Alligator mississippiensis: one gene and its partner. Each later gene encodes a partner of the first gene's protein in a complex. Links are inferred from orthologs where the notes say so. Each region holds a gene or a part of one and is shown on either strand. Other genes may lie near its edges. The genes, in order: CLSPN and CHEK1.

Region 1 (16,744 bases):
TTAAATGCCCAGTCTTTAGTTATTTAATAATTAATACATGATTCTTTTGTTCTAGGTTTATTTAAAGGGAAAAAAGGTATTATATTTTGAACAAGGTTTAAGTACACAGCATTATTAAAAACCTTCTCAAATAAAATTTGACTTTGCATAGGGCAATGAGTTTTAAACCATAGCTATAAATTTGGATTTGAAGGACAGCATGGGATACCTTCACAAAAAATTCAGACTGGACTAATGACAGCACATTGCTTTCAAGTTTTACTTCTTTATAGATTATGTAGCAAATAAACCCAGTTAGGGGAAATATTCTGTCATTATATACAAAACTAGCAGATCAGCCACTTCGAACTTTGGCTCTCAAACTATGGTCTTCAGACCACTGCTAATCCCCACATCCCAGACTTCTGGTCTGTGAATCACTTCTTATTTTTCAGCTATTACACTACATTAAAATGATACTCAAGGAATATCAAGGAAATCCCTAATTTTGCATGAAAGTAGTTGCTGCAGGTGCCCCGATAGCAATACATGATTATAAACTGAAACAGAAACTACATACGAAGTAAATTACTTAAGCAAATCAAGAACCGGACATACAAGACAACATGAGACAGAAGAGTTCCTTACTTCAGCAATGCCATAGCATTTCCCTGACAAGCTGGTCTAGGTCTACGCTTGAAGAACTCATGTATGGTTTTGGTTTCAGGCACATAATATGGGAGCGACAGACATGATTCTACCAAAGGAAATAAGAGTCATTTTAGTCACGTACTGAAGCGGCAGGCATTTTCTCAAATATTCAGATGAGCCTGGCACAAGTATTTTGCAACTAAGAGATCCAGCTAGACATGAAGAGCAGAGCTTAACTCCAATATATAAAACATGTAGCTGTTGGACCTCTATCCAAACACCCACAAACTGCCCTGAAGAATAAGGCCTGCAACATACCCAAGAACTCAGAATAAAGTGGACTGAGCTACCAGTAACAGAAGAACAAGACCCATTCTAATTACTTGGTATAACTAAGTGCCCAATACACATGAAGTCAGTTACTTCTAGTCCAGATTTAAACTTTAAAAAGAAGTCTCCAAGAGAGACTTCCAAAGTTGTTTAAAGACAAGTTGTAGTTTCCAGAAAGAAATCATGCTTGCAGTGAAATGCGTATTTTGATATAATCTCAGGAGAAACAGCTTTGCAGCTTATCTAATTTAAATTCTGAATACCACATATCAAGCAAGAACAAAGTCCACTGCTTTGATTGACACTCCTTTTCTGTTGCCTTCCTAAGGAAATTTCATCTTACATTTAACACAAGTGGTTCAGGTTTTACCTCTTACAAGTCTCTGGCTCTCACTATGCAGTTGTTTCATGGCTTCTTTACTTAACCTTGCTGCCTTCCGCTCCTGAGAGAGAGAAGAAAACACAGGACTGAATATAGGCGTAGTTCTACAAGTTCAAAACAATGTTTTTGAAAAAGTTTTTCAAAAGGTTCCCCCCTCCCCACACACACACTTTTTAAGCAGCAGGGAAACACAAGAAAACAGAAATAAATCTTTAAAATATGCTCATCACACTGATTCCGTTCTTGAGCACCAAGTAACACCTTCACATAAAATTAGTATTATGGACTAGTGAGAATTAAAAGGAACTAAGAAGCCTAAAGAAATATTTTACCTTTCTCTTAGCTCTTTTCAATGTGGGTTCCTCATTCTCATCATCAAATACATGTTTGTAATTTTGATCTTCAGAAAACAAATTCTTACCCTATAAAAATGGATTGATTAATTTCACTGCATAGCGAGGAGCTGTCAAAAGCAAAATGCAATAATGTTGTGCAATGATTTTCTGTATCATCGTTGTGAATTTCCATCTGCAAGCATTTTCAGAAACAGATATAAACATTATACTGCAAATTCTTCAACTGCCTCCACAACAATATTCTTTTTGGCACCTCCTATGACATTAGTGCTTAAAGAAGGCATTTCTGTTCCTACACCCCTAGAAACAAGACATTAGGGGCTATTTTCTTCATGTAGAAGTGGAATGGCATCAGTGTCAACAAAAGATTGATATATGCGCTAAGGTACAAGAATAAATTAAGTTACCTTATGTTTTTTCACTTTGCCTTTCACTGCAGCTCTTATTGATTCTAGTGACTCTTCATCTTCAGGATGGGAATCATTTTCTTCCTCTAAATCATTATCAAAGAGTTCTTTGTCAGCAAGAAGACACCCACTATCATTAATAGAATTTTTCTCACCATTATCTTCCTGCTGAGTAAAAAAAGCAACATTTAAAAACATTATTACTTCAGAAGCTCACTTACAAATATTTGAAAGACATCTTTACAATTTCAGGATAATTGATAAAAATCCCATCCCATCATTCAGACAAAAAAATAAGTAACTTTCAAATAAATTCTGTAGTCAAGTCTTTATATTACAAAATTAGGCCAATGCAGGTTCTCAACTTCTGCAATCAGGAGAGACAGGAAAAGAATTATGTAAAACTCACCAGGGCTCATAGAGTCCTGCACAGACCATAGATTTGACAATTGTGCATAGTTAACAATATTTGCCCACAAAACAGCATTTCTTAAGTGTTAATTTGCTGCCATTACTTGTTACAGCATAATCATTTGATTGCTATGGAAGGCAGCTATGATCAGTTTGGTGGAAACAGATGCCTAATGCCTTGGAATGGGAAAAAAAATCCCTAAATTGTCAACAACAGGCCCATGGATAAATTTGTACTTGTAACCTAGCAGTCATGAGTTGGCTTATGCCCAGGGGAGGCTTACCAACACCTCCTACCAGATGCTCAGTGAGAACAGGGCTCTGATGTCAAGCACAACCCACATCCTCTTTCCAAGGATGGCATGATAGTAGCTTGGCTCCACAGATGAATGGGTTTGATAGATTTCATACCTTACATCAAGCCAAGGCCACAAGCCCTGTTGTATCAGGAACTAAAACAATTCATGTTTTGAAACAAGCTGAACCATTATCATCCCAGCTATGTGTTGGGCTGCCTCTAGATTGGCAAGCCCACCTTAAGGACTGATACTTTAAAATGCCAATTAGGTTGGTGGTATCCTGTCTGTAGACTCTTGTGGAAGTCCAAACTGCTAGTGGGTTGTGAGTACACAAATTTCATTAGAGGTTTTTAATTACCATCACCAAATGCTTCAACTGTATTTAACCGGACTAAAAATATCAAATGTTTCTCCAAACATTTATACCTTTTGTTTCCGTTTCTTTTCTTTCTTCAGTTCTCTAATAGCCTCCATTTTTTTTTCTTTTTCCATCCTCCTCCTCCTCGATTTCCCCATTGCTTTTTTGCCCGTTTCACCCTCAAAATTACTTTTGTGTTTTTTGTATTGTTTCGGAGATGTTGGCAAAGTCGCCACCTGTGAACCCAAATCCAGCTCATTCTGAGTCGCATCAGACTGCTCATCTATTTCAAGGTTTTTGTGATCTAATGTGTCACCAATATCACTCTCGTCACTGTCCAGCAGAGCCTGGCGAATCCGATGTTTTTTGTTCTTTCGGGCAATAAGATGCTCTTTTTCCTCCCCGCTCTTAACATCTTCAGCTACAGTGTCCGTCTTCTCAAGGGAGCAGCCTCTCTCTTCCCCTTCACTCTCACTGTCCTGAAGCACCTGTTTGCTTTTAGATTTTTTACTTACAAAAATCTCTTCCTCTGAATCTGGTAGAAACATAGAGCATTCTTTATACCATAGATCACAGATTGTTTATAAAAATTCATAGGTCCGTTACCAAATGACATACTATGCCAGACACTGTTCTCCATTCCCAAACTAATTAGTGACATTCCTGTGTTTTATGTAGCCTGTCTCTTACGTAACCAAAGCAAATAGTAACATACTGAAAGAAAACTATAATGGACATGCCATGGTCCCAATCCTGCAAACATTCATGCTGTTCTATACAGAGCGGTTCAATAAAAGCCAATGTGAAAACTGCTTTTTCTACTATATGATAGTTAAATAACAACATGCATTCCTATTCTAACTGCTCTTTGTAAATGCATGATTTCCTTTATCTTTTTTCCCGCAACACAAATGTTCTTTTTCAGGATATATAGAAAAACCTTAATGGAGCACTTCTTGATCTTCTTCTATTTGACTTCGAGTCCAAAATGCCAAAAAAGTACAGGGAGAACAATCCGCTGCAGTGTAGCAGCAACCTTAACTGCATTTCAGTGACAGAAAATAGAATTACTTAAATGTAATTTTAGCTTATGTTTTCTATGTAAAAGCCCTGCAGCCCCATACTTAAAGCTACTAATGAGGCTGGCATGAAAATTTTAGGCATATTATGGTTTACAAAATTCAGGTTTAAGATCAGGAGGAAACTGATTCATCCTACTACTTCATATGTTGACACGCAACACAATGTATTTTCAGGATCCCATTTTATCCTGTCACTTCCCCATCCAAGCACACAAGAAAAGGGAAACAGCACTGAGCTCTAACTTTAAACCATGATTAATCTACACTATAACTTTTATCCAAAAGTGAAAATTGTAAAAAGCATGATCACAGATATCTACTGTGCTCAGGGTATTCAAGGGGGCATCAGGAAATTTAGAACTTGTTAATGGTATGTCTACAGACAAATTCTGCTCTCAAGGTACAAGCTCTATATTCTTGTTTCCCCGTCCCAGAAGCGTTTCAATTCAGCCAGACTAGAACTTCATAAACTTAGAACTAACTCCCCTCTCACCAAAATACACACACACACACACACACAAGTTAAAGGAGTCAGATTCACCTGGGTTAACTATGCAACTCATAAAAGGCAAGGAAATAAAGCAATTAAGATATTCAAAACCCCATCCCCATTTCCCTTTCTCAACCACAACTACCACCTTTTTACCATTTACAGATCTCTACCCACATCCTGAACAACAAAGGCACTCTGAATTCAAACCATATGTATCTGTATATGTTAATGCATTGTGATGGTTCGTATACAGTTGGTGTGGCTCTCTCAAGCTATATCGTACATAGCTGTGGTTCATTTTCAATGAACCGGTAAGCACAATGCAATGTCAGACTGCAAATGGTGGCTGCAAGATATCTTCTCATGTAATAGCTAGAAAACTGCATTTGACTGTATAATTTGTAATAACTGTCCTGAAGTTAAATTAATAAATATTTCAGAATTAAAAGTCTGGATTCATGCATGAATAGTGACTTCTGTTAATGCCAGAGATAAGTGTGCATTACATACTCTTGACAGTGAAATATGTCAACCATTACATATGCCACATCTTTATAACCCAACAAGGAAAAAATAATTCATACAGATAGCATGGAAAATATTTCATAGACATTGGGGCTGGAAGGGACCTCGCGAGATCATTGGGTCTGGCCCCCTGCCCAAGGTGCTGGGGTCAGATCACCCCAGCAAGATAGGCATCCAAGCGTTTCTTAAAGGTATCCAGAGTAGGTGCTTGCACCACTTCTGGGGGAGTCTATTCCAGACTCTGGATACTCGGACGATAAAGAAGTTTTTCCTTATGTCCAGTCTAAAACGGTCTTCCAGCACTTTGTAACCATTAGACCTTGCCTTTCTTTGGGGTGCCCTGGTGAACAGTTTCAAAAGAAACATTACTTCTAACATAAAGTACAGGACCATGTTCTCTCAACCTTCCGCAAAGGTAAAACTATAAAGTACAAAGAACAATCCCAATATTTAGGGGGAAGAGAAAAACCTCACATCTAGCCATAGAGATCTCTTTGTATTACAGACCTCTGTCATCAAGAGACGCAACTTCCTTGTTGGAATGTCCTGGAGAACTTGTTTCACAGCTGCCCTGTCCGCTGTCAGAATCGCCGTCATAAGCTTTCTGCAAGTCAGGTTTTAGCTCCTCTACACCTAAGCAAAGCTAAAAGCCAAGAAGAAAGTTTATTTTCATACAGCATGAGCTATTTAAATTCAAATAGTTCATTGACCTCAGTGTCATCCCAAATTATAGTCATGGGAAAGCAAGGACCTCCCAAGGTCATCTAGTCCAGCCACAATCATCCCTGGCTAAACAATCCCAGCCAAGGTTTGCCCAACCTGCTCTTGAAAGTATCCAGGGATGGGGCTCCCACTTCTCTAGGTAGCCTGTTCCGATGTCTGACCACCCTCATGGCCATCAATTACTCGTTGATACTATAGTCATAAGATTGATTTGGGTTTCAGACATTCAAACAAAAATTACTATATGCTATGTCATTTCCACTACTGTACAGTTCCCTTGTGAAATTCTTAGTTCGTATCAAAGCAAAAAACAAGTATTGTCCTGGACACTGTCTGGTGGCCACAGCTTGAAACTAGCCAGAAACTCGCAACTTTCACGTGCCAGAAAAATACTTTACGAAACTTCACAAAAAGCAGCATCCTCGCAGTTGAGTAACAAAACGTTCTTCATTGCTCTGCGCAAGGGGAAAAGGGCAGGGTACTGGAGAGATCAGCATCCCACCTCCCTGGCCCCATCCAGCACAGGTGAGCCCACTCAAGTACAACCAAGGGCACCAGGTAGCCCCAGGGCAGTGCCCAACCAGGGATGCTTCCCAGCATGCCCCGCGGAGAGCGCTCCCAGCATGCACTGGGGCAGCACCGAGGCGCATGTTGGGAAACGTAGTCCTCTTCAGGGCGCGGGAGTTACGAGCCGCAGCGGCTGCTTCGCGTCCCGAGACGGCCTCCCGGGAGGGGCCCGCGGGGCGGGCGGCGACTCCCACTACCAGCCGGCGGAGCAAAGCAGGCCTACCTCAGGCGCTGCCGCCGCCATGGCGCTGCTCGACCCCGCTGTCCCGCCGCCCGCCAGGAAAGCCGCTTCGATTCTTCGCGCTCTGCCTGGGGCTGATCCCGCCTCCCAGCCGGAGCCAATCACCGCTCGCTCCTCCCTTGAGGCCCCGCCCCCTCAGATCGCCTCATTGGGCCGTTAGCTCGGTAAACCCCGCCCCCTCCTCTCAGCTGCCCAATACGAGTTCCGTCTTAACAGGATGTCTCCGCGCCGCCGCCAATCCTCTCCCGCTGTTGGCTTTCGTCTGCTCTGTGGAGACAGCGGTCCCCAGCGCGGGCCGCTCTAGCTGGGGACTCTATGATCTTGGCCCTAGGCATTGGCAGGGTCGTTCTGCAGGGGAGCAGCTGGGACTGGCCTGGAGCAGGGCCCAGGGAGACCTGCCAGGCTGTGCCCCTTGTGGGGGGCATTCCCAGAGTGCCCTGTACAAGTGCCCTAACTTGACCTGAGCAAATGACCTGATAAAATATTTGTTTGCATTGCGCTGCATTTGACTGGCGCATGCTGTGCCTCGTACTCAAAGCAAGGCCGGAGACCAAGCCTGCCACGTCCTGCTGGAGCTGGACATTCATCCTGCTGTCGTAGCTGGTGTTTCATCCGCGCCGCCCGACAGAGCCTGAACTTGCTCGGATCAACGTCGTGTTGCGGGTGCCGCAGGACACCTTGGAGAGGAGCTGGGTCACCGGGGGACCCAGAGGCTGTTCAAGCCACTGGGTTGGAGATTAAACTGAGCCCCCCGCTGTCATGGTGCTTCTGCTCGGCCGCTTGTGGGCTCGGATCGAGTGTAGTCTCGCTGCCCGAGTCAAAATGGATTTACGTAGGGCTGCGCGACATTTCACCACCGGTTTTGTTTCAACGCTAGCAAAATCGAAACGGAATGGATATGGTCGAAACAGCCTCGAAATAAAATGAGGCGATAATAGGGAAGGTTGAAACAGGCTATAACTTTGTCATTTCTGGCCTGATTTGGATGAAACTTGCAGGAATGGTAGCCCCTTCTGAGGGTGTGAAGTGTGCCAAGTTTCAAGAAGATAGGTGCAGGGGGTCAGAGAAACTGCACCCCAAAGTCTTGAGAACCAAACTTGTGTCACATGTACGTGTTAAGCCACAGCGGGGTGAAAACTGCAAGGGTGGTAGCTCTTACTGAGGCCACCAAGCCTGCCGGCTTTCAAGGAGATAGGTGCAGGGCTTTGGGGGAAACTGCACCTCAAGCTGCGAATAAGCAAAACTCGTGACACGGGTGTCACTGTGTGTGTTAAAGCACAGCAGGGTGAAAGCTGCAGGGGTGGTAGCCCCTGCTGCGGCCATGAAGCCTGCCAGCTGTCAAGGAGATCAGTGCAGGGGTCATGGCTTCTGGGGCGTACATCTAGGGCTCAGTGAACAACTGTTCACCAGGGCACCCTTGGGGAAAACTAGGAGTAATGGTCAGTCTGGACACCCTAGTTGTGAAGTAGTTTTTCCTAATGTTGAGCCTGTAACTATCTTCCAGGAGTTTGTGACCATTACTCCTAGTTTGTTCACCGAGCCCTAGATGTACACTTCTGACGTTGCGGTAAGCTGTTACCAAGTCCCCTCTGAGCCTTCTTTTTCAGCCTGAAGAGTCCCAGGTCCCTCAGCCTTTCTTGTGTGGCTTGCCGTGCAAGTCTCTGATCATGTGAGTGGCCCTTTTCTGGACTCTCTCAAGCTTTACCATGTCCTTGTTAAGGTGTGAAGCCCAGAGCTGGACACAGTCCTCCAGCTGTGATCTCACCAGTGCTGAGAAGAGCCAAGTAGAGCAGGAGAATCACTTCTTTGCAATGGTTTTGCTGGAGATGCATCAATTGATGCATGCCGGCATACTGTTGGCCCTGCTGGCTACAGCAGCATACTGCTGGCTCATGTTCATACTATGGTCAATTATTACCCCCGGGTCTTGGTGACAAGTGATGGGGGGATCTTCAGTCCTGCTGCCTGATGAGCGGCAGCAGTTGCACAAGCACCCATGTCACGAGTTTTGCCTGTCAGCAGCTAGGGGTGCAGGGCCCCAGAACCCCCCTGTACCGATCTCCTTGACAGCTGGCAGGCTTTGTGGCCGCAGCAGGGCCTAGCAGCCAGGCCTGCAGTGGTTCCCCCTCCTCCAAAGACAGACACAGTTGCACGAGCACCCATGTCATGAGTTTTGCCTGCCTGTGGCCAGAGGTGCAGGGCCTCAGAACCCAGAAGCCCCTGCACCAATCTCCTTGACAGCTGGCAGGCATCGTGGCCACAGCAGGGGCCACCATCCCTGCAGCTTTCATCCTGCTGCGCCTTAACACACACAGTGTCACCCATGTCACGAGTTTTGCCTGTCAGTAGCTTGAGGTGAAGTTTCCCCAAAACCCTACACCTATCTCCTTGAAACTTAGCAGGCTTTGTGGCCTCCGCAGGGGCTAGCATGTCCACAGTTTTGACCCTGCTGTGGCTTAACACATACGTGTGACACAAGTTTTGCTTTCAGGATTTTGGGGTGCAGTTTCTCTAAACCCCCTGCACCTGTCTCCTTGAAACTTGGCAGCCTTTGTTGCCTCAGCAGGGGCTACCAGGCCTGCAGTTTTGACTCCACTGTGGCTTAACACAAACGCATAAAATTTTACAGAATATTAAAATAAAATGGTACTTCTCCTGCGGGGATGTCTGCTGCCTTCCTCGCTCTTGCTACATGTTGTTCTGCATCATAAAGCCACCACAGAGCCAAACAAGGTGTTGAGCACATCATGCTGAGCTGGTGGGGGAAGGTGCACCATTAATCTAAAACTTTGCATCGCATTTTTTTAACTTGTATTTAAATGAAATAGCTTTATTCTACAGAGAAAGCAATGGTTCACAGAGTCGCTCAGACCTCACAGTGCAGTTATAATTTCCTGGAGCGGCATTGTGACTCTGCAGGAATGGAGAAGCTAGATCCTGGCGTTAGAAAAACCTCCAGTGAGCAAAGTATCTTGAAGATGTTGTTTACCAAGTAATGCAAGGCTAAATAAGTGTTCCAGGGAGAAATGGGGAACCAGCAGTCGCTGTATTTTAGTGTCAGATGGAATAATGAGTAATGATACTCAGCTCCTTTACTGTGTAGCATTTTTCATCTGTAGACTTTAAAGTGCTTTTGAAAAAGAGGGCAAGCAAGTCTGTGAATTAATAAAGGACTTTGAGTTCTTTTGGCATGCTGTGTAAATACAAACAGGGAAGAAAAATAGACCTGCTGGTGCTTGCAGGAAAGTCAGTCTGTCCCTTTTCTACTCAACCTCATGTTTCAGGGCTGCCTATATAGAAGGGACCGAGCCAAGCGGAACGCTTTGCCTGCTGCTATTATCCTTGATACATGACAGTTTGGCTTCTGTTGCTACTAAACTCTTCAACTGCTAGATGGCAACACAGATTAAGGGAGGCGACACTGCAGATCACAGATTCCTGGGAGTCTGGGATTTTTCTGGATAGACACTGCCAAAAGAAACATGTTAACAAATGCTGAAGTCCATTTACAGTCAAACATAGAGCTGCTTTGGTATGTTGAAAGAGCCTGGGAGTCACAACAAGCTTGTTGTGAAAACGATGCATACAATGGGATTGGGTCTTAAACAGCAACAAGGGAAGATACAAAATAGCAATCGCTAGCCAGCCAAAACTTTTTGTTTTAGATTTTAAAAAAGGTCATGGGGTGGAAAAGGAAAGGGCACTTAGCTGCTCAGTCTGAAAGCTCATACCATCGTGGAAGAAACCTAAAATGTGAAGTGTATTTGAAAATAAAAGAATGGAGCAGATGAGCTGTTAGATCAGGGTCGGGCAATTATTTCAGGCAGAGGGACGCTTACTGAGTTTTGGCAAGCCATCGAGGGCCGCATGACAGGCAGCCAGGGGCAGATAAATACTCAGTTTCTCAATTTTTAGGGGCCCTGTAGGTGGGATAGAAAAACCTGGTGGGCCACATCTGACCCACGGGCTGCATTTTGCCCACCCCTGTGTTAGATGCAGAGGTGGATCCAGAGGGGGTGCAACAACATGGTTGCATCCCCCTTTGCACATGTTGCATGTGAGCTCTCAGAATGGTGTCTGCCCAAAGACCCTATTTTCACACTGCTCTGGAATCAGGGGTGAACAGTTCCATGCTTGTCCCCTCCTTTCCCCTGCTCTGAATTCATTTTCTGATAGGAGGAGAAGGCAGAAAAACCGCAGCATCCACCCTCTGGAGTCCAGAGCCACCTGAAAGCACAAATTCCAGCCACATCGTCCCCAGAATATCTGGATCATACAGAGCTCTGGGACAGGCTGGGGACCGCTGACTAAGTAGCAGCTCTGCAGAAAAGGACCTGGGGGTTACAGTGGACAATAAGCTGAATATGAGCCAGCAGTGTGCCCTTGTTGCCAAGAAGGCTAATGGCATACTGGGCTGCATTAGTAAGCGTGTTGCCAGATGATCAAGGGAAGTGACAGTTCCTCTCTATTTGGTACTGGTGAGGCCACATCTGGAGTACTGTGTCCAGTTTTGGGTCCCCCACTACAGAAAGGACGTGGACAAATGGAGAGGGCCCAGAGGAGGGTTAGGGGGCTGGGGAAAATAACTTCTTGAGAAGCAGAGGGAACTGGGCTTATTTAGCCTGGAGAAAAGAAGATGGGGGGTGGGAGGGGAGTAATAACAGTCTTCATCTACCTGAAGGGTGGTTACAAAGAGGATGGAGCTAGACCAGGGGTGGGCAAAATATGGCCGTGAAGCTGCTCATGGGGCCAAGCACCATTGGAACCAGTCCGCACTGCACTCCAGCCTGCACACACCCTGCACCCGCTGACGGCACTGCCCCAGCCAGTATGCACAGCTTCTTAGCAGCTGCCCTGGTAGTACTCGACTCCACGCACCTCCAGCAGCTCTTCCTCCTTCCCCTGCTATGCTGCTCTAGGACCAGGTGGCATGTCAGGCAGCACATGCCAAGCCAGGCAGGGGGAGGCTGCAGCTGGGCAGCTCCTGCCCCAGCATGTGGGGCTCCAGCTCCAACTCCTGGTTGCTTTCCACCCACTCAGCCACCTGGCATGATGAGCAGCCATCTGGGGGTGGCCAAGTGGGTGGAAGGCAGCCCTGCTGGGAAGTTGTGTGCACTGGCCAGGGCTGGGGCAGGTGGGAGCGTGGCACAGTCTGACTCTGGTGGGAACAGGAAGGGCAATCGTGGACTGAATGGGGACGAAGGGAAGGAGTGAACCGCACTTGCCCCTGCACTGCGCTGCACTGCCTAGGTGAGCTCTGCTGCATGCATCCCCTTTCCCTCCTCCCTCCCTCCCTCCCCACTGCCCTGGCCAGGTCTGGGGACCTAGTGCATAGGCAGACCCCCCACACACTTGCACCCCACTTCCCACACACACACACACACAATATAAACAGTAAGACTATTTTGAGCTATTATGCAATTGCCTCTATATATACCACTCAACAAAACATAAATCAGGACTAAAAATATTTTTAAATAAAAATATGTCATAGTAAATGTTCAATTTTTAATATACAATTTGTTTTTTATCTATCATTTGTTAAAATATCTTCTGAAAGATTTTGTGTGCACAGCCTTCAACAGCTCACCAAAACATGTCAAGTGACCCACCAACCAAAATAATTGCTCACCCCTGAGCTAGACCGTTCTCAGTGGTGGCAGATGGAAAAACAAGGAGCAACGGTCTCAAGTTGCAGCAGGCTCTTTCAACTTTTCTTAATATCCAACCTAAACTTTCTCACTAAAAGAGTGGTGAAGCACTGGAACAGGTTACCCGGAGAGGTGGTGGAATCTCCATCCTTCAAAGTTTTTAAGACCCAGCTACACAAAGCCTTGGCTGGGATGATCTAGTTGGGGCTGGTCCTGCTTTGAGCAGGGGGTTGGACTAGATGACCCCTTGGGGTCCCCTCCAACCCTCATTTTCTATCATTCTGTGACCCCACACTGACTGGGCAGGAAGCTCAGAGCTCACTGCCTATGGCAGCAAACCAAAGTGGGGTGATCCTCACCCACCTTGCCCTGTCCAGACTCCTCTACCAGGTAGAGGCCCTTGCCAACGCAAGGTTCTGTTCATTCCAACAGGTACCTAAGAAACATCCTATATCCAAAATGTAACAGTTCTTAATACTATGAGTAGACAGGCCACTGTAAGGAGACTGTAAGCTTATTTCTAACTTGCTTCAATACTAGTTGAGGAATAATTTTGAACACTTTCATAATTTAAAAGAAAATACATTGTTAGTTTTAAAATTCACTCTCTTAAATAACAAACTGCCTTGCCGCTCTAATGTGTGGGCGGCTGTTGAAACAGGCACTCTCGGCATAATGCCCGTTTCTTGGTGTCATGTCATGCCTAAGCTATGCTCCAGCCTTGACAACTCTTTCTCACATGAGTAGGCATTTTTCATATTAGGCCTATGGACCCAAATCTTCAAAGAGCCTGAGCGCTCTGGCATCAGCCCAGCAAGATGCCTGAACCTAGTCTTATAGTTTAGCATGGGAACAAGCTTGTTGACTTTGCTAGAACGACTCGTGCTTAGGTTAGGTACAGATATAAGTGCTTTGTTGGACTGTGACCAGAGTGTACCATACTTTGCAGGATCCAGCAAAGTATACAAGCCTTGGGACTGGAGCTGTATCTCTGTTCTTTGTAAAGTATAGCGCTGTTTTAGGATAACACACCAATGCTAAATAATAAGCATAAAACCATTGCCAGCTGTCACAATTTTATTGCCAGTCTTGTGATATTCAATGTTTTCCTTAAAGCCCGCCCCCTCTTGGTGTCAGGTAATTTCATAAGAATCTCAGTTTTCTTTAGATTTTAATGTAGGCTTCTGGCTGTCGCAATGGTGGAGACTGAAAATGCAAACATGACAGGTTTAAAAACCAGAAGGCAATTAAAGTGAACCCTATATTTAATCTGAAAATCAAGTCATGTATGTGATAAATTTTTCCCACCGTTTACAGTGAACATTAAAGCCAGCAAAGCACAGCTTGCCAGTGGCTCTGACAATACATTTGAGCAGATGAGCAAAGCTGAGACCCATAGGCATGTTCAATCCAGCTGCAACAGATGTAATGCTCTTTCTTTATTGGCGTAGCAAGCTAAGAGCATGCTGCCAAAAGCAGCTTGTCTTGTCTGGTCTCAAGAGCCTCCATATTCCATAATGATACTTTATACAGTCAAGAAGGTAATCGAGAGAGAAACGTTGTCTGGCCATGTACCGTTCAAAAAACAAGCATGTAGAATCAATAATGCTGTGAAGCCAAAGATGGGGTTTTCCACAGTTACTGTTCTAGGTGAGGGGTGTCAAACTCACCTCCTGGCCCATGCTGGATCTGAACTGTAGGGCTCCTTGTGAGCTGGATCCAGCCCAGGGCATGGGGTGGCTTGGGAGGCAGTGGTGCTGGCAGTGGCAGCAATGGCATCTATTCCAGTTTCTGCCCAGTGCATGTGGCAGTGGTGGCTCCAGCTCCCACCATGTGCCATGCACCCCTTGCCAAAGCTGGAACTGCTGCTGCTAACACATTTCATGCCAGAGCACTGGCTCTGGCACAAAGCTGCAGTGGCAACAGCTCTGGCTCAAGCACAGGGCATGGTTCACATGAATGTGGCAGGTCCAGCTTTCACCACGTGCCCTGGGCTGGAGCTGAAGCTATTGCCACTGACTCATGTTTCAAGCCAGGGTGGCAGCTCTGGCTCTAGCACAGAGTACGTGGTGGCAACAGCTGTCTCCCCCTCTGACGTGGGGCACAAGTCATGTAGTGCCAGTGGCAACAGGGCCAGCTGCCAAGGAACTGGGGCTGCAGCAGTGGGGACAGATGAAGTGGCCAGCGGGCAACAAGGGCTGTTTTAGCCTTTAATCGCCATCCTGCCACTAATTGCCATGTCCACCAGGGCCCAACAGCCCCAGACTCTGTGGCAGACAACCCCCGCTGGCCACACTTGCCAACTCCCGCTGATCTGTCTATAGCCTGGCAGCCTGGATACAGTGACTCCATGTACAGTCTGTGAGCCTTCTTTTTGACACCCCGTGTCTAGGCCTTTCACATGGACAAGAATATTGCTTAATGACCAGATTTGTTCCAAATCTAACTCCAAATGGTCACATTCCAATAACACATTCCTTGGCGTCTCAGACCAGCAGAGACTCCCTATGCCTGGAGAAGGGTGATTGCGCTCAAAAGCTTGAAATAACTTTTTTTTCCCCCAACTACTCAGTTGGTCTGATAAAACATACCACATCTACTCAATGAACATTGCCTGCCCACATTCCAATAACTTCTTCATTTGTCTCTCAAATCTGCAGATCCACAATTTTTAGATGTGACTTTACCAGAAAGGAGCAATTTAGCAGCTAAGATTGTGATGTAAGCGCAGCTAGAGAGAAACACTTAAAAAGTCTGTAAATAATGTTGTTGTGGCCAATTAAGGCTTCCCATTTGTTAGTAGGTAGCATCTCCTGGCCAAAGGGAACTGAACAGTGGCAGCTGGGAAAGGAGTATGCTCCCAGAAGGAAATGTCGGTTTGCAAATGTCGAGCTTATGACACATGGCAGAGCAGATCCAATTCTGCCCAGCAGAAGGCAGTGGACTGCATGTAGAGCAGTAACGTCATTGCCAGGGATCCTGGTTTTCTCCAACTTAAAAAAATCCCAAATTTTCTGTTAAAAAAAGTAACCCCAAATCCATATTTTTCCGCAATTTAAATGAAACACCACTAATATATAGATATATATAATATATATAGTGATGTTTCATTTTAATCATGGAAAAATGTGGATTTGGGGCTACTATTTTTTAACCGAAAATTGGAATTTTTTAAATATCAGATAAAACCAGGATCCCTGGTTGTTACACCCTGCTCCCTCCTTACTCCCCAATTTTTGCACTAGAAGAAGGAAAACGGTGGTCACACAAGCTAACCAATAAGCAACCTGGAAATGCAGGAAAGTCAATTAAACAAGATGAAGGCACGTGTATTTTGAACGCTAGATTTAAGGAGGCACTCACAAGCAATTGTACAGCCTTTAGTTACGTGTTTACACAGCACACCAATATAGGACTTAGTTCTCTGATGCCTCAACAAAACAGTGATTACCTTCCTACTCAGCCAACAAAGCACGATGTTATGTTAACAGTTAGCAAAGTCGCTGCTCCTGGAAATCAAAATAAGCAACTGCTTTAATAGCAGAGATCAAAACTGCGATATCCCAAACCAACTAAGCAAGCATCACACATAATGAATCATGGTTAGTAAGATAGGACATCAGATATAGTATGCAGGTAACTTGTGGTAGTGATCTAAATTCACACCCTGATGTAAAGCTTCTCTCTCTAATGGAAAGGCAATAAAGAGATTTAGAGAGCGGGATAGTTGAACCCAATTCCCAAAGGCAAAGACCCTTTTATAAAAGACTTGAAAATTCAGAGACCCTAATAAATGCAGAAGATGAGCCTATTAGGTAACTCCTTCTTCTGCTGGACCACAGTTAAAAAAAAAAAAGAAGTGTGGGGACATTTAACAACCATGTTCAGTTAATTCAAGATTTACCTGCTGACAAACCAATGTGCAGACATGTAAGTTATTCATCATCTGACAAGTGTGCAGGATTGATCAGTTAATCTAACCACTGGCAAGCCATTGCACGCGCTGCACCTCTGTGCAGGGAAAGCCAGCCAATTCTTTGCAGACATACCTTGTAACTTTTCTTACTCATTTTTTCTGAGCTCTGGCACAATCACCATATAGCTGCATCCGTGTTGGCAGGAGGAGGAGGAAGGAAACACAGCTGTTTTTTTCCACGGGTGCCTTGCTTTTAGGAATGTCCATTAAGGCAGCTTTCCACATTAGTCATCTGTATATCTAGCTGGCTTTACCTGCGCAACCAGATTGCTGTAAAATACTAATGTCTAACAATATTAAGTGCACAGAACAC
Region 2 (16,039 bases), on another chromosome or scaffold:
GGGCGTAATACTGGCACCAATTTAACTGAGCAACAGATGGAGGGAAACTGTTGGTAAGAAAGTGTCTGGGATTCAAAGGGAGGTGATAGACCTAAAGGAATCCCTCAAAACATGAAGCAGTAAAGAGTACAATCTCTTTTTCTGCCTATGAATAATAATGCAGTGTAAAACAGATATTATAGCCAAGGGATAAAAATCAAACTACAGCCCAAGGTAGGCAAGTTACTGGAAACAAAAGCATATAGCATTTCTACCTGTGTGCACTTTTCAGTGGTGAGAAGTCCATATCAGATCGAATGTGCTTAGAAAAGCCACCTGGAGAGTCTGACAGACCCCCAGAAGAGACCCGGGCCCGTTTGATACCTGTAAAGAAATAATGCTATCAAGGATCAGGGGTATCATCTTGAGCGGGCACTAAGCTAAGTTACCCATTAAATATATGGTTGTAAAAGACTCCTTGCATTGTCAAAGAGTTTCCTGTGTTTATTTTACACACTAAAATATCTTAAATGTGAGCTGTGTCAAGCCCACTTTCATTAGTCATGAATCTGAAGGATGAAAAAGACTTTGCAAGTTCCTGAGCAAATAAAATATATTCAGAAAGCAACAATTTCCCATTCTGCTTAAGAGCACGTAAGTGCTGATGGCATTTGGCATCCTACCTCATGACTGAGGACATCAGCCAATTGAGTGTCATTAGACAGAGCTAACAGGCTCATGGATGCAAGCTCCTTGGGCCAGACCATGACATTAAAGAAGTGCCCACAGTTAATGTGATGACCTTGTGTTTAAAGAACGTCTTACATTCGAAAGCTTTTTCTAACTCTATTTCAACTATGCAGTTGGTCCAATAAGAAATGGCACTCTATGAAATCCTTGCCTTGCACATAATTCCTAGACAATCATTGTTACAACCTCACTATAACACTACTATGACAAAAATATCACACTTGGTTACCAGAAACATACATATATGGTTTTAAAATCAAATATGCCACCAGCATATAGAATGGCCGAGTTTAAATCTATCTTGAATTTCCTGCCATTGGTAGCTTTTCTGCTAGCTCTGCAAGGATTTGTACCCTAATGTGTACTCCCAACCTTAATTTCTTTATGCTGTTTACCTATAATTCCACAACTTGTTGTATAAAACACTTAGAGACATTTACCTTTCTTCAAAGGCCTGGTGTACCATCTGTCCTTTTTGATGTCTGAAATGGTTATCCTTGCTGTAGGGTTCTCTATCAGGATTTTGTGAAGCAAAGCTGGATATAGAAATGATAGATTAGCCATGGTAGAAGGCAGCTTTCTGACAAGCAAACTACATTTTCCTCAGGCCATTCTATTGCATAACGATGGAATTGTTACTTCTAGTTCCATCCCCCAAATCTGGTCCATGAATCAACTCGAACCTAAACGATTTTGATCACTTGAACATCATAAACATTCTAACACACAGCTGTCCAAGTTACTTGGCCTTGCAGGCTGGATCCAGAACACGGGTCTTTAAGTAGGCCAGAAAAATCAGCTTTGGCAGTGGCTTCTCAACACAGCTGTAGGACCTATTGGGCTGGCACAGCTCTGGAACACTGGGTAAATGCTGATGCCACCAGGAGCAATGCATAGGGGGTGCACGCAGGTGCATGTGCACCCCCCGAGTGTGGCGGTGCACCCCCTACAAAAAGGCACCAACTGCGGGCAGTCACCACTTGCCACCCCACTGCCGACAGCATCTGAAGATGGTCCACGATCCCTGCTGGCCACTGCCAATACTGTTGGCGGCAGCTGTAGGTGGTCGCCGACCCTCAGTCGGCACTCACCACCCCTCCTGCTGCCAACAGCGCTGGCAGTGTCTGTGGGAGCTCCCGCTTACTGGCACTGTGTCCCCACCAGCCACCAGGGTCACAAGTTTTTCATAGCTGCCACTCACCTGCCTTTTCCCTGTGCCACCAATTTGAGCCACTAGCAGCTACTGAAGACCCCAAATTTGATGGCAGGCACAGGGGTGTAGCATGAGCTGCAGCAGCAGCATTCACCCCATGGATTCTAGAGCTGAGCCAGAAGCCCTGTGGACTAAAATACAGCATAACACCTAGCAGTTTACATGCGGTTGGAGGTTGCCAGTTTGAAATCCCTGGCTTAACCCAAATTCAAAACCAGGGTTGTTGTTGTTTTTTGGGTTTTTTTTTAATTACTTTTAGCTTTATCTGTGGGTGGGCACATGCCAATCCATTTTTCAGTCAGACTGCGACCAGCAAGCAAAACCTCAAGTACAACACGGGTTTATGAAGGGAGCCTAGCAGATTCCTGTAGGCCTGCATACTTGTAAAAATGATTTGGGGAGATTTGAGGTGAGAAAGCAAACAAACAAATCTCAGACTGAGGTTTCAGGACACACAGACTATTAGCCCTCAGACTTTCCAGGATCCAGAAACATGGCAAGCAGAAATGGGGACTAATTATGAGGAACTGAGACCAAATTGCCTCAAGATTATTACTTTTAAAAAGCAGCCTACTTTCAGATATCTTCATAGACAGGACTTTGCTTAGTAAGTCATCTAGTCTAGCATCCTGCTCAAGGCAAGATCATTTCTAATCCAGTCTAGACAGCAAGCAGGAGCTCCCACAGACACTGCCAGCGCTGTTGTCAGCGGGAGGGGTGGCGAGTGCTACTGGGGATGACCTAATCGGCGACCTTCTGATGGGAAGCTGGGTGACAGCGACCACGAGCTGATCACCTTCACCATCCACCGTAAAGCTGGCAAGTTAGTCAGCAACACTGACGTCCTTGACTTCAGGAAAGCCGACTTTGACAAGCTCAGGAGGCTTGTCAGTGAAGCATTAAGGGACCACAACCCCAGGGTGAGGGGAGTCCAGGAAGAGTGGTTGCTCCTCAAGGGAGCAATCCCTCAATGCACAAGCTAATTCTATTCCATCTTGGAGGAAAGGCAGCAAAAGGGCACAGCAGCCCCCCGGCTCTCTAGCGATCTAGCAGACCTCCTGAGGCTAAAAAGTAAGGCCTACAAAGGATGGGATTTACCTCCAAGGAGGAATATTGTGCACTGGTCCGGTCCTGCAGGGAGCAAACCAGGAAAGCCAAGGCTGCAACTAAACTCCAACTAGCCTCGAGCATCAAGTAAAATAAAAAGTTCTTTTTCAGATATGTGGGGAGCCAAAGGAAAAACAAGGGCAACATTGGACCCCTGCTGAACCAGATGGGACAACTGACGCCCAGGATAAAGTCAACCTATTAAATGGGTACTTTGCATCGGTCTTTCATCAGTCCCATGGGATACCCAAGCCCACTACGGGACAGGGAGGTCCGGGTGAGGGAGATCCCTTGCCCTCCATCAATGCCGACCTCGTAAAGGAACACCTTGAGAGGCTGGATACCTTCAAGTCAGCTGGCCCTGACAAGCTACACCCCAGGGTACTCAAGGAGCTGGCAAGCATCATAGCCCAGCCTCTGGCACAGATCTTTGAGAACTCCTGGTGCTCTGGTGTAGTGCCCAAAGACTGGAAGAAGGCCAATGTGGTGCCTATCTTCAGGAAAGGGAGGAAAGCGGATCCGGCAAACTATAAGCCCATCAGCCTGACTTCTTTCTCAGGGAAGATCTTAGAAAAGTTTATTAAAGAGGCCATCCTTAATGGACTGGCCGACACCAACATCCTGAGGGATAGCCAGCACAGGTTTGTTGCGGGTAGGTCTTGCTTGACCAATCTCATTTCCTTCTACAACCAGGTGACCTATCACCTGGAGAAGGGAGAAGAGATTGATGTCATATATCTTGACTTCAAAAAAGCCTTCGATCTGGTATCCCATGATCACCTCTTGGCGAAACTGGCCAATTGTGGCCTTGGGTCCACCACAATCCACTGGCTGGGAAATTGGCTCCGTGGTCGGATCCAGAGGGTGGTGATTGATGGAAGTCAATCATTGTTGTGCCCTGTGACCAGTGGGGTCCCCCAAGGCTCTGACCTTGGACCCATATTGTTCAACTTCTTCATTAATGATGTGGACATTGGAGTCAGAAGTGGACTGGCCAAGTTCGCCAATGACACCAAACTTTGGGGCAAAGCATCCACACCTGAGGACAGGAGGGCGATCCAGGCTGACCTGGACAGGCTCAGCAAGTGGGCAGACGAGAACCTGATGGTGTTTAACACCAAAAAATGCAAGGTTCTCCACCTTGGGAGGAAAAACCTGCAGCACCCTTATAGGCTCGGCAGTGCTACGCTGGCTAGTACAACGGAAGAAAGAAACTTGGGGGTCATCATCGACCACAAGATGAACATGAGCCTGCAATGCGATGCTGTGGCTAGTAAAGCGACCAAAACGCTGGCTTGCATCCATAGATGCTTCTCAAGCAGATCCCGGCACATCATTGTCCCGTTGTGCTTGGCCTTGGTGAGGCTGCAGCTGGAGTACTGCATCCAGTTTTGGGCTCCACAATTCAAAAAGGATGTGGAGAAGCTTGAGAGAGTCCAGAGAAAAGCCATGCATGTGATCAAAGGTCAGGAAAACAGACCTGACGACGACAGGCTAAGAGCTATGGGGCTCTTTAGCCTGGAAAAGTGCAGGCTCAGGGGTGATCTGGTGGCCACCTATAAGTTTATCAGGGGTGACCACCAGTATCTGGGGGAATGTTTGTTCACCAGAGCGCCCCCAGGGATGATGAGGTCGAACGGTTATAAACTACTGCAAGACCGTTTCAGGCAGGACATAAGGAAGAATTTCTTTACTGTCCGAGCCCCCAAGGTCTGGAATAGCCTGCCATCAGAGGTGGTTCAAGCACCTACATTGAACACCTTCAAAAGTAAATTGGATGCTTATCTTGCTGAGATCCTATGACCCCAGCTGACTTCCTGCCCTTCGGGCGGGGGACTGGACTTGATCTTCCAAGGTCCCTTCCAGCCCTAACATCTATGAAATCTATGAAATCTGATATAAGGACTGGAATTTAGCCTAAAAACATGACTGAAGTGGGGTAGGATTCACTTACATTCTTCAAAAACAAAAAGGATAGTTAAAAGGTTGGCAATCAATTACTCTCCACATCCAATTGGAACAAGCAGCATAAGGCTAAAATTGTAAGAAGGGAGATTAAGGTAAGATTAGGAAGCACTTTTTAAACTCAGAGCCCATAGGGAGGTTGTGAAATCTCCATTTACTGGAAATTCTTAAATACAAGTCAAACAATCATTTCTCTAGGCTGGATTAGAAATGATCTTGCCTGGAGCAGGATGCTAGACTAGATGACTTAGTAAGGATCCTTTCAGCCCTATTTAGATTTGATTCTGTATCCCTTTGGAAATTATTACAGTCACATAGATACTAGACCCCAATTCCCTACTACTATACAATGGTCTGGTCATCTGCATGCGCGATATGAAATACTACTAGATCAGCAGGTCAATAGATGAAGCTACCCAGGGAAGCTATGAAAACTCTTGTCATTGAAGGTTTGCAAAAAGGGGCTAAAAAGGCATCTGGATGGGGTAGGTTAGAAAGAGCATTTTCTGCATCTCTGCAAGGGGTTGGACTACCATATTGGTCCCTGAGGTCCCTCCAATCCTATGATTGTGAAGTTATCACAACTTATACCTATTTTGCACAAGGAAGCAACTGCACAGAGTTCCAGCAGTAGAGAATCAGGTTCCTAATCTTCAGTGGGTTTGTTCCTATTGCTATGACTACTAGAGAGTAAGGAGAGAGACTGCTAAATTATCTTGGTCTTAAGGTAACACTACTGTTGAATCTTACCTCATCTCTAGACCCCTCCACAAGTGTGTACAAAACCCACTCGGTATCCCAGGACTTAATCCTGTGAGACTCTGAGTCTGTGACAGAATCTGGCTTGTGAGAAGATGGGCTATGTCTGGAAGAATAGCCAGAATGTTTTCTGGAATATAAATCACACAATGCCAACACTTCTTCCCCTGCTAAACTCGCTACTGTTGTATGCAAACAAAATGCATTAACTCAGTCAGCTGACTTACCTAATGGTACAGAATCAATCTTCTTCCAGGGGGGAAGGTATGTTTTCTTTTCCTTCCAATCACAATATTCTTGGCAACTGTTACTAGGCTGGTCCCATGGCAATTCTGCAAGTAAAGAAGGCATAATATGCCTTTTTTTTAAAAATAGGCCTATGAACATAACTCTAAATCAAAATGTTAGGAGAGCTAGGGAAGGATTTTCAAAGAAAATTGATCTTAAAATAAATGGACATTAATTTGCAAGGAAGGGAAGAGATGAAACTACCCTGAATGCAGTTACAGATTGAGATCCCGTGACCCTTCTGTGAAGTCATCAGCCCCTTGCTCAAAATAGTTACATATACAATGGCATCCATTTAAAAACATATCCGACCTCATCAATTGGCAAGTCAGTGGCAACACAGGAAAATTCACATAGCAACGTAACCAAATAAGCCCAAAGGCTAAGAGCTATAATCCCCTTTGTGATATGTGCTAGTGAAACACAGCAAGCTTTTGGCTAATACAGTGATTCTCTACCACCTTAGATACAAGGCACCCCTTAGAAAAATGCCAGCTCTTAGTTTGCACTCATTTTAAGTGTGGAAAAATAATAGAGCAATTTTCCTGTGGTAAAGAACTTGGGAAGACAAAAGGATGGAACGGTTTTGACACTGTGGATTTTTATTTGAAATCTCTGCATTGTCTTGTGATTTACATATATCAGTGCTAATATTGCATGAACTTCTACATGCTTAAAAGGATCTTGTAGCACCCTGGTTAAAGATCACCAAGCTGGAGGATCCCTCAGGAGGACCACTACTGAATTGGATGCCATCCTCCAGGGCAAGAGTGCATCACAGATTGCATGAAGCCGATTTCACCCATAGATCTTCTTAAAGATCCCACAATACCTTATAGAAAAGTTCTAGACAGAAACCCCTACCCTTTTTCTTTTTTGAAACCAATGAGGGCCCCCTGGGCTCTGTAGCTACTGAATTTGCTACTGACATTTAGGCACCATAAAAATCTGCTCCCTATTCAAGACCATGGTGGGACATTGCACACCTCGACAAACAAACTGACTGATACCCCTCCCCATGTCCCGAGTTCATTAGGACCAGTTAAACTAAGCACACCTCTCTTTCATACCACGTGGAGACAAAGCATCTGTCAAGTATTACTTTGGCAAACCTGCAAACACATTCTAATTAGCTTTATGTGCAATGAAAGACAATATTTACAAAAACCACAGACCCAAAGCAAAGATATGGACAGCAACAAGAAAAATAAATAAATAGAGGAATAATCAGCTTCAGTGGCCTTAGGAAAGCTGGTTTGTTTTCATCTTTTTAGCTCCTTAACAGTACTCTCTCATGTGACCAAGAACAAGAGAGAGACAGGAAAACAAAATGATTCTACAGGAAATAAGAGAATATAATGAATAGTTTACTATAATATGGAAGTTTAGGGAAAACTAACATACTGCTTCCCAAATGCCACCTTCTTCTCTGTGGAATGGGACTAATTCTGTCATCTGTGCAGATGACAAGTGTTTGTTCTGCAATCCTACTGCACTGTGAAGCTGCTGTAAACATGCACATTAGAAGACAAGTTGCACAGTGATAAGAAAATGACCGATTCCTACCTCCTGCCAACATAGCAGTAAGTACTATCCCACAGGACCAAATGTCAACTGGTTCTGCATGGAATTCTTTTCTTTTTAGCAGTTCTGGGGCAACATATGGGAGAGTGCCACACATCTTGTTTAACAATCGTTCACGACCGTTGTGTTTAAACACAGTAGCCAAGCCAAAGTCGGAGATTTTGAGGTTATCTAAGCAAAAAGAAGCACACAACAGTTAAGTACACCAAGCAGCAAGGTATTTTTCCACCTTCTTTGTTAGTGGTGTCTAACATATTAAAACTAATTTCAACTAGAAAAATTAAACTAAAGAGCCCACTTGCATCTACTTCAAGCCACCATTTTGCCAGATAAGCAAAGAGGGACCTTGATATAAATAAAGATCAGATATATTCATTTTTTTGGTTATAGACCACAGGAAATTTGAACAAATGACCTGAAGCCTGAAACAAAACACTTGATCCAGACACAGCTGTGTTATAAGGAAAAAATACTAACAGTTTACGCAGAGATTTCTTGTTTTAGAAGGAACAGCCAGGAAAGACGGCTGTTTTTAAAAGTCCGTTCCCCCACCCCAATGTCATCTTCGATTATTAAAATTAAAATTGTGGAAAGCTATTTTTTCTTTCCACTGTAACCTGATCACACAATGTTCTGGCAAAGCAGAGGAAGGATCCACATCATTAGTCTATTCCAGTTTCTCAGATCCTAGATCCATACTGTAATATTTTGGTTCTAGGACCCTACAAGAAATATTTTTGTTTTAAAAAGTTTTAATAAAAGCTTTACCCAAAGGTCCTAGAAGCATTTCTATCACTCCTCAAATTCTGTAGAAACAGCTTTTCAAGAAGGTATCATTTTTCCATAGGAATGTTCTTTGAAAAGGTGCCGGCATCTCTGCAGAGACCAGCCTCTGCTCCAGAACACCTAGACAGGTTTACCAAATTTGCATGTGGGCAGGGGAATGAATGCAAGTCCTGGAAGCATGAATCAACTTTTGCTCAACTAGATTGCTCTTAAGCCTGCAGCATCCTCAGAAAGCTTGAAGTGTTTTCAGTTTCACCAACAGACACAGACTTTCTTCTTCCCTTGTACACCTAACCACCAAAATTTAAAGGGAAAACAAAATAACTAGCTCTAGACGTACCTCTGTCATCTAGCAATAGATTCTCAGGCTTAATATCTCTGTGGGTTATACCTATACCATGGAGATACACCTTAAAAAGAAAGAGAGAGAGAATCTTGAATCTTATGATTTATATGATCCCAAATGAAAGTTTTAAATAAATGTAGAAGGCAAATACTTACCACCCCAGCAATAAGCTGATGGAAAAACTTCTGTGCATCTGATTCAGGCATTCCTACATCAGGCTCTGAAAAAAGTCATTCAGAATCCACTTAACAAAAAAAAAAAAGATCCACACACTTCTAGCATCACAAACAAACATGATAGGGAAAAGAGTATCTTGCCAATGTTTCTGTCCTCTAATATATTTGTTTGTTCCTTTCCATATCGTCTCTTTCCCCCCTCAGAAGCTTTCAACCCCCAAATTCATCTCCCTCCTCCTCCTTCCACAAAGGGCACAGAAGCTTTAACACTAAACTAATTGGCAGAGTTATCAAGAGACCTATACAAGAGCTGGATGACCTCTTGTCCAAGGGCAGACAAGCAATAAGGCAGCTCCCATTAACCTTAGAAGCAAGCCTCCATATCGCCATCCTTTTGGCTAATGCAAGATATTGCCCCCAACATCTACAAGCAGGGGTGAGCATCTGTGGCTCACAGAGCCATCTGAGACAGCCCAGGACGATGAAGCTTCAGCAGGATTCAGCAGCAGGTGGCTTCAGCTGCCCCTACACCCACCTCTGACCCGAACTGGGTCACTCCAGCCTGCAGCCTAAAGGTTGCTGATGACCACTGCCTAAACAAGTCGCCAGGTTCTGCTTACGCAAAACTATCCTGTGCAAAAACTATCGACATTTCTGGTACCTAACTGTTGCTCAGATCTTTCCAACAGTAGAATGAAACCAATTTCCTTCTGGCTCTACTGCTGCTCATTAGAACGCAAATAGTAATAATTAAGACTGACACATCGGTTCGGTGGAAAGCCAAGAGCTGCAGCAAAGGCACTAGAAGTCTAACATACGAGCATATTTTCTTGACGTCTGTATCTCACTTCACCCTGTTTATTTTCAGAAGACTGACTTTTGCAACCATAAGGACTAGGTTTTTTTCCTTTGAAATGAAATATCAGAATATATAGAAACTGGAAACACTGGCCTTATTAATCCCAGCTGAGTGAATTTCTCAAGTCGGCATAGTTTACTTGTTTAAATTATCTCTCCCCGTGAAAAACCATGACGCTGAACTTCTAGTGGGATTAAGCAATAATTGACAGATGTGAACTTAACCGTGTACAGAAATTCTTGCCAATTTCGATGGAGACTTCCTTGAGGCGCACAAACTCATGCTAAGCAGGATCTACATGTTGCCAGGAGGACACACCAGCTAAACACCCCGCGCGTGGCAAGCTGGGGGGCGCGGGAAGGCAGATCGGCGCGTGCGGGCGGCGCGGGAAGCCGCTCGATGTGCTCTACCTATTCTGTCGAAGAGCTCCCCCCCTCGACAGTACTCGAGGAAGAGGTACTGGACGTGGCCTTCTCGCCGGTGCCCGTAGAACTTCACGATGTTTTCATGATTGAGCATCTTATTAATACAAATTTCTTTCTTGATGTTTTCTGGACAGTCGGCAGCACGTTTCATATCAACTATTTTGACGGCAACGGCTTCCTCCGTGCGCCTGTTGACGGCCAGCTGAACCCTGCAGGGAAACGAGAAACATCCCTCATGAGCCTCAACTCGAGCAGGCCCCCCTCCCCGCCCGGCAGGAACCACAACCCCCCCCCACACACACACACACACACACACACACACACACGGTCCCCGCGCAGCGCCCGGCCGGAACCCACACCCACACCCACACACACACACACGGCCGCGGGGTCGGACCGGCTACACCCCACCTCAGCCCAAGGGGTCTGTCTCCGCCACCGTCAGCGGCGCAGAGCCACCGCCGGCCGCCCGCGCTCCCCGCCCCGCCCCGCCTCATGTCTTCCTTCCTGACAGCGCCCGCTTCCCGCTGGACACCGGCCTCTGCCCGCGCGCCCCCGCGCTCACTCTCCGTAGGCGCCCTCGCCCAGCGTCTGCACCAGGTCCCAGTCCTCCACGAAGGGCACGGCCATGGCGGCCGGCGGCGCCCGGACCCGGACCGGACCGGACCAGACCAACCCGCCCGGCACGGCACGGCACGGTACGGCGAGAGGAGCGCAGCACAGCCCCGCCCCCACCCCGAGCGCCCGCTCCGCGATTCCCGCCCAATGGCGGCGCCCGCCGCCGCATCCTTCCGTCCGCCCCGCCCCCCGGCCGGCCAGGGCCACGCCCCTTCCATCGCCCCGCCCCGCCCCCGGCCGGGTCCCGCCCCCTTCCATCTCCCCGGGCTGGCGGGAAGCGAAGCCGGTTCCTTATTTCGGGCGTCGCCAAACCTGCAGGATTACCCCGGGGTCTGCAGGAGCTAGAAACCCGTGCCCGGCAGAGCGCTGAAAGCCACCCGGAGACCTAGGGATGGGCCTCCATTAAAATGAATATTACATGTGAAATCCTGTTTCTACCGTCGGCCACTGCATAGGCAACGCGTGGGGGGGGCACGTGCCCCCTGAGGTTGGCAGCTCACGGGCCCCTGGACACTGACACACCGTAGGCAGTCCCCACTCACCGCCCCCGACACCGCTGCCACCTCCCAGCCTCCGAAGGCGCGCGCTCTTCGCGGTCCGGTGGCTTTTTAAAACGTAATAGTAAGGTGCGTTTGCCTTCCTGAGGTGAAGTCCACGTGCCGTCATCCGTAACCGATGTACAGCAGCATGCGGGGCGGCGCATGTCGCGGGCATGGCGGCGGCCCAGAAACCTCTCGGAATAGGTTCAAGCAGAGTTGGCAGCCCTACTTGTTCCCAGGTCCCATTTCAAAGCGAATCCTTACACTGTTCAAGGTTGTTAGTCATGAATGATGCTGACTGAAGAATCAGGACTTCATCAATGGATAGTTGCTAATAAAACTGTAAAATAATATCATGCATCAAGTACATAGCCCTGAAATTAGGCTGTGGCAAATCCCTTTCGGGCCACCACAAAACACGCCTATGGCACCAGGGGACAGCTCTGAGCAGGGCGCTGCCCGGCCCGAAGCTGGGTTTCTGCAGGCCAAGCTGCCCACTCACAGGCCTCAATTAGGAACTGGGTTTGGGCTAGGATAATGGGTGGAAATCCTTCTTGGATCACCCCCAACACACGTCCCCACCCTAGGAGGTCTCTCCCAAGGAGCCTGGGCAGAGTCCTACCCACCCCGAAGCTTGGTTTCTGTGTGCCAGGCTGCCTAGACAGGCCCCCAGGCCTGAATAAGGAGCTAGGTTTGGGCTGGGATTACTGATGGAAAACCTCTCTGAGTCACCCCAGACAAATGTCTCTGCCTTCAAGGGGACTCTCCTGAAGAAGCCTGGGTAGAGCCTGCCCGACCCAAGGCTCAGTTTGCAAGTGCTAACCTGACAACTGAGGCCCCAAGCCCATGTCCTCTGTACCTAGCCCTGAATATGAAACTGAATTTGGGCTGGGGATATCAGGTAAAATCCTCTCCCCGTCACCCAAGAACACACGTCTGTCACCAGCGGACTCCCCTGAAGAAGCCTGGGCAGAGCACTACCTGACCCACAGCTCAGTTTTTGCGCACCAGCTTGCCAACCGACAGCCTCCCAGATTTGTGTGCTATGTATGTTCCTGTGAATAAGAAGCTGACTTTGGGCTGGGATTATAGGGCAAAATCTTTTTTGGAGCACCCCAAAACACTCCTCTTCACCACCCAGAGACTCTCTAGAAGAAGCTTGAGCTAGTCCATGCTCGACCCAATGTTTGGTTTGAGTGCCAGCCTCCCACCTGCCACCCACCTGCCAGTACCTGCATGCTAGGTACATTGCTTTATACAAATATCTTATTTTGGGCTGGAGTTATGGGGCAAAACCCACTTTAGATCACCCCAAAACCCACATCACCACCACCAAGGGACTCTCTTAAAGAAGCCTAGGCAGGTCATTGCTTGAACTTGAAGCTTGGTTTTTGAGTACCAGCCTGCCAATTGATACCCACCCTGTAAGGCCTGCACATTGCTGTTTCGCCAGGTGCTAGACAGCAGTAAGAATGGCTGCATACAAATATAGGGGTTTTATACCAACTTTTCAAATTTACCTCAAGCCCCAACCCAGAAATTTGGTAAAGTAAATGTGTACTGGGTGTTCTACCATGAACAAAACCTGCCCATTTGCAAGCAAATGTTAAATTAAAACAGATTTATTACAAGGGAAAAAGGGAACAAGGGGACACCCTAAGCAAAATGTTAACTATTAACCTTTAACTGTACCTCAAAATTGATCACAATCTTAGCAGTAAACCAACCTGGGGAACTACTACCTGGCCCAGTGACGTGGGAAGGGATCTCACCCAGGGCTGCCATCCAGGAGCTATACCACGTGTACCGGTTTAGTAGTAAATTCTGGGTAGGGAGACCCACCCTGGAGGCCCTGTTTCTCAAGTAGCCCTTCAGACAGTTATACCCTCTGCTTACTAATGAGGGTAGGCAGACGAAGTGAAATGACAGTTTTCACTATGGAACATTACTTTAGTCAAACATACAGAACTTAATCAGGGATACACATGCATAGAAATATGAATTTTTAATACATATCACTATGAGCATGGAACCTATTTGAAAGAATGGGGACATAATGGCATTATTTGACAACTTGGTTTGGGTTTAAACCACATTAAGAATTACAGTATGGTTTTTCATCCATTTTTCTTATTAAACATGCAACAGTCTTCTCAGGCAGAAATATAGGCCCATATAAGGATTTTTGGATAAGCACCTGCCATCTCTTTTCACTGTGAACGTGTGAAGTTATTCATTTGGAACTATTAGCCAATCTCACAAGACAATAGAATTATGCCAAGACATTAGGTTGCTGAAAGTAATATGTGGTTGAAAGATTCATAGATTCATAGATGTTAGGGTCGGAAGGGACCTCAATAGATCATCGAGTCCGACCCCCTGCATAAGCTAAGATAAAGTGAAGCTGAAGTGATCTCTCCAAGGTGCACAAGCCTGGGCGGTGTATATGGAGACACTGAGCTGTCCACACACTAGCGTCCCCCTCTCCTCCCAGCCTTGCTGGTTTACGCTAAAGGAGAGGCAGGCGGCAGTATGTTTGGAACCAGCTGGGCCGCAGGAGCTGCTGGAACAGAGATCGTCCATTTGTTCAATCGAGGCTCCAGTCCTAGACTGACTGTCAACCAGTCTTAAAGAACCCTGTCTACCCAGTCATGGAGTGGACTTCAGTTCCCTAAGTTTTTGATGACCAGATCAGGAGGATGAAATAAATGAGGCTTTCTTTGGACAACTAGCAGAAGTTTCCAGATCATAGGCCCTGGTTCTCATGGGGAACTAGGAGGGCAATATGGCAGGGCATCAGTAATCCAGGAAGTTTTTGGAGACAACTTCTTGGTACGAGTGTTGGAGAGACCAACCAAGAGCCATGATCTTTTTGACCAGCTGCTCACAAACAGGGAAGAATTGGTGGGGGATGCAGAAGTGGATGGCAACTTGGGCAGCGGTGACCACAAGATAATCAAGTTCAGGATCCTGACAAAAGGAAGGAGAGGAGGGCTCGGAAGAACAGCAGAGTATGGACCCTGGACTTCAAAGCAGACTTTGACTCCCTCAGGGAACTGATGGGCAGGATCCTATGGGGGGGGGGGGGGGGGGGGGGGCAGTCTGAGGGGGGAAAGGAGTCCAGGAGAGCTGGTTGTATTGTAATGAAAACCTCACCGAGAGCACAGGAACAAACCACCCCGAACTGCAGGAAGAATAGCAAATATGGCAGGCGACCAGCTTGGCTTAGCAGGCAACTCTTCAGTGAGCCTAAACACAAAAAGGAAGCTTACAAGAAGTGGAAGCTTGGACAGATGACTAGGAAGGAGTACAAGTGTTGCTTGGGCTTGTAGGGATAAAATCAGGAAGGCCAAAGCACAGTTGGAGTTGCAGCTAACAAGGGACAGGAAGGGTAACAAAAAGGGTTTCTACAAGCACGTTAGCAACAAGAGGGAGGTCATGGAACATGTGGGTCGCTTACTGAATAGGGGAGGTAACCTAGTGACATATGATATAAGGCTGAAGTGCTCAATCCCTTTTTTCCTCAAGTCTTCACAGGTAAGGTCAGCTCCCAGACTACTGCATCAGGCAGCACAGTTTGGGGTGCAGGTGAGCAGCCCCCAGTGGTGAAAGAATGGGTTAGGACCTATTTAGAAAAAACAGATGCGTACAAGCTCATGGGGCTGAATGCAATACATCTGAGAGTGCTGAGGGAGTTGGCTGATATGTTTACAGAGCTGCTGGCCATTATCTTTGAAAATTTGTGACGATCGGGGGAGGTCCCAAACGATTGGCAGATAGAGTGCCCATCTTTAAGAAGGGGAAGAAGCAGGATCCAGGGAACTACAGACCAGTCAGCCTTACTTCAGTCCCCAGAAAAATCATGGAGAAAGGCCTCAAGGAATCCATTTTTAAGCACTTAGAGGAGAAAAAAGTAATCAGAAACAATCAACATGGATTCACCAAGGGCAAGTCAAGTCTGACCAACCTGAATGCCTTCTATGAGATGAGTGGCTCTGTGGATGCAGGGAAAGCAGTGGACATGATATACCTTGACTTTAGCAAGGATTTTGATACAGTCTCCCACAGCATTCTTGAAAAACAAGTCAAGGAAGCATGGGTTGGATGAAAAGTGTCAAGTGGGTAGAAAGCTAGCTGGACCATTAGGCTCAACAGGTAGCAATCAATGGCTCGATGTATAGTTGGCATCAAGTGGAGTACTCCAGGGGTCAGTCCTGGGGTCAGTTTTGATCAATATCTTCATTAATGATCTGGAAGTTGGGATGGATTGCAACATCAGCAAGTTCACAGATGACACCAAGCTAAGGGCTACAGTAGATATGCTGGAGAGGAGGGCTAGGATTCAGTGACCTAGACAAATTGGAGAAGCAGGCCAAAAGAAATTTCAGGAGGTTCAACAAGGACAAGTGCAAAGTCCTGCACTTAGGACAGAAGGCTCCTATGAACCACTACAGACTTGGGTCCAACTAGCTAAGCTGCAGCCCTGCAAAAAAGGACCTGGGGGTTATAGCAGACAATAAGTTGAATACGAGTCAGCAGTGTACCCTTGTTACCAAGAAGGCTAACAGCATACTAGGCTGCATTAGTAAGAGTGTTGCCAGCAGATTGAGGAAAGTAATTATTCTGGTCTATTCTGCACTGGTGA

What was found.
Region 2: the proteins of CLSPN (region 1) and CHEK1 are in contact, whole or in part, in a crystal structure (PDB 7AKO), measured with the Homo sapiens proteins. The link is inferred for Alligator mississippiensis from reciprocal best matches to the Homo sapiens genes CLSPN and CHEK1. Residues at the interface, in NP_071394.2 of Homo sapiens: Glu938, Leu940, Leu941, Leu943, Cys944, Ser945, Gly946; in NP_001107593.1 of Homo sapiens: Lys53, Lys54, Cys57, Met61, Arg129, Thr153, Val154, Phe155, Arg156, Tyr157, Asn158, Arg160, Glu161, Arg162.

What each region holds. Positions count from the first base shown.
Region 1 is NC_081829.1:8,912,550-8,929,293, forward strand, and holds the start of CLSPN (claspin), read right to left. Parts: upstream 6,878-16,744; 5' UTR 6,808-6,877; coding exon 6,787-6,807; intron 5,917-6,786; coding exon 5,781-5,916; intron 3,709-5,780; coding exon 3,242-3,708; intron 2,274-3,241; coding exon 2,106-2,273; intron 1,765-2,105; coding exon 1,675-1,764; intron 1,404-1,674; coding exon 1,331-1,403; intron 737-1,330; coding exon 628-736; intron 1-627.
Region 2 is NC_081839.1:21,780,251-21,796,289, forward strand, and holds the start of CHEK1 (serine/threonine-protein kinase Chk1), read right to left. Parts: upstream 10,969-16,039; 5' UTR 10,868-10,968; coding exon 10,803-10,867; intron 10,447-10,802; coding exon 10,223-10,446; intron 10,187-10,222; exon of another isoform or gene 10,095-10,186; coding exon of another isoform or gene 10,037-10,094; intron 8,998-10,036; coding exon 8,933-8,997; intron 8,842-8,932; coding exon 8,772-8,841; intron 7,817-8,771; coding exon 7,628-7,816; intron 6,106-7,627; coding exon 6,001-6,105; intron 1,266-6,000; coding exon 1,170-1,265; intron 364-1,169; coding exon 255-363; intron 1-254. UniProt on the Homo sapiens protein: Serine/threonine-protein kinase which is required for checkpoint-mediated cell cycle arrest and activation of DNA repair in response to the presence of DNA damage or unreplicated DNA.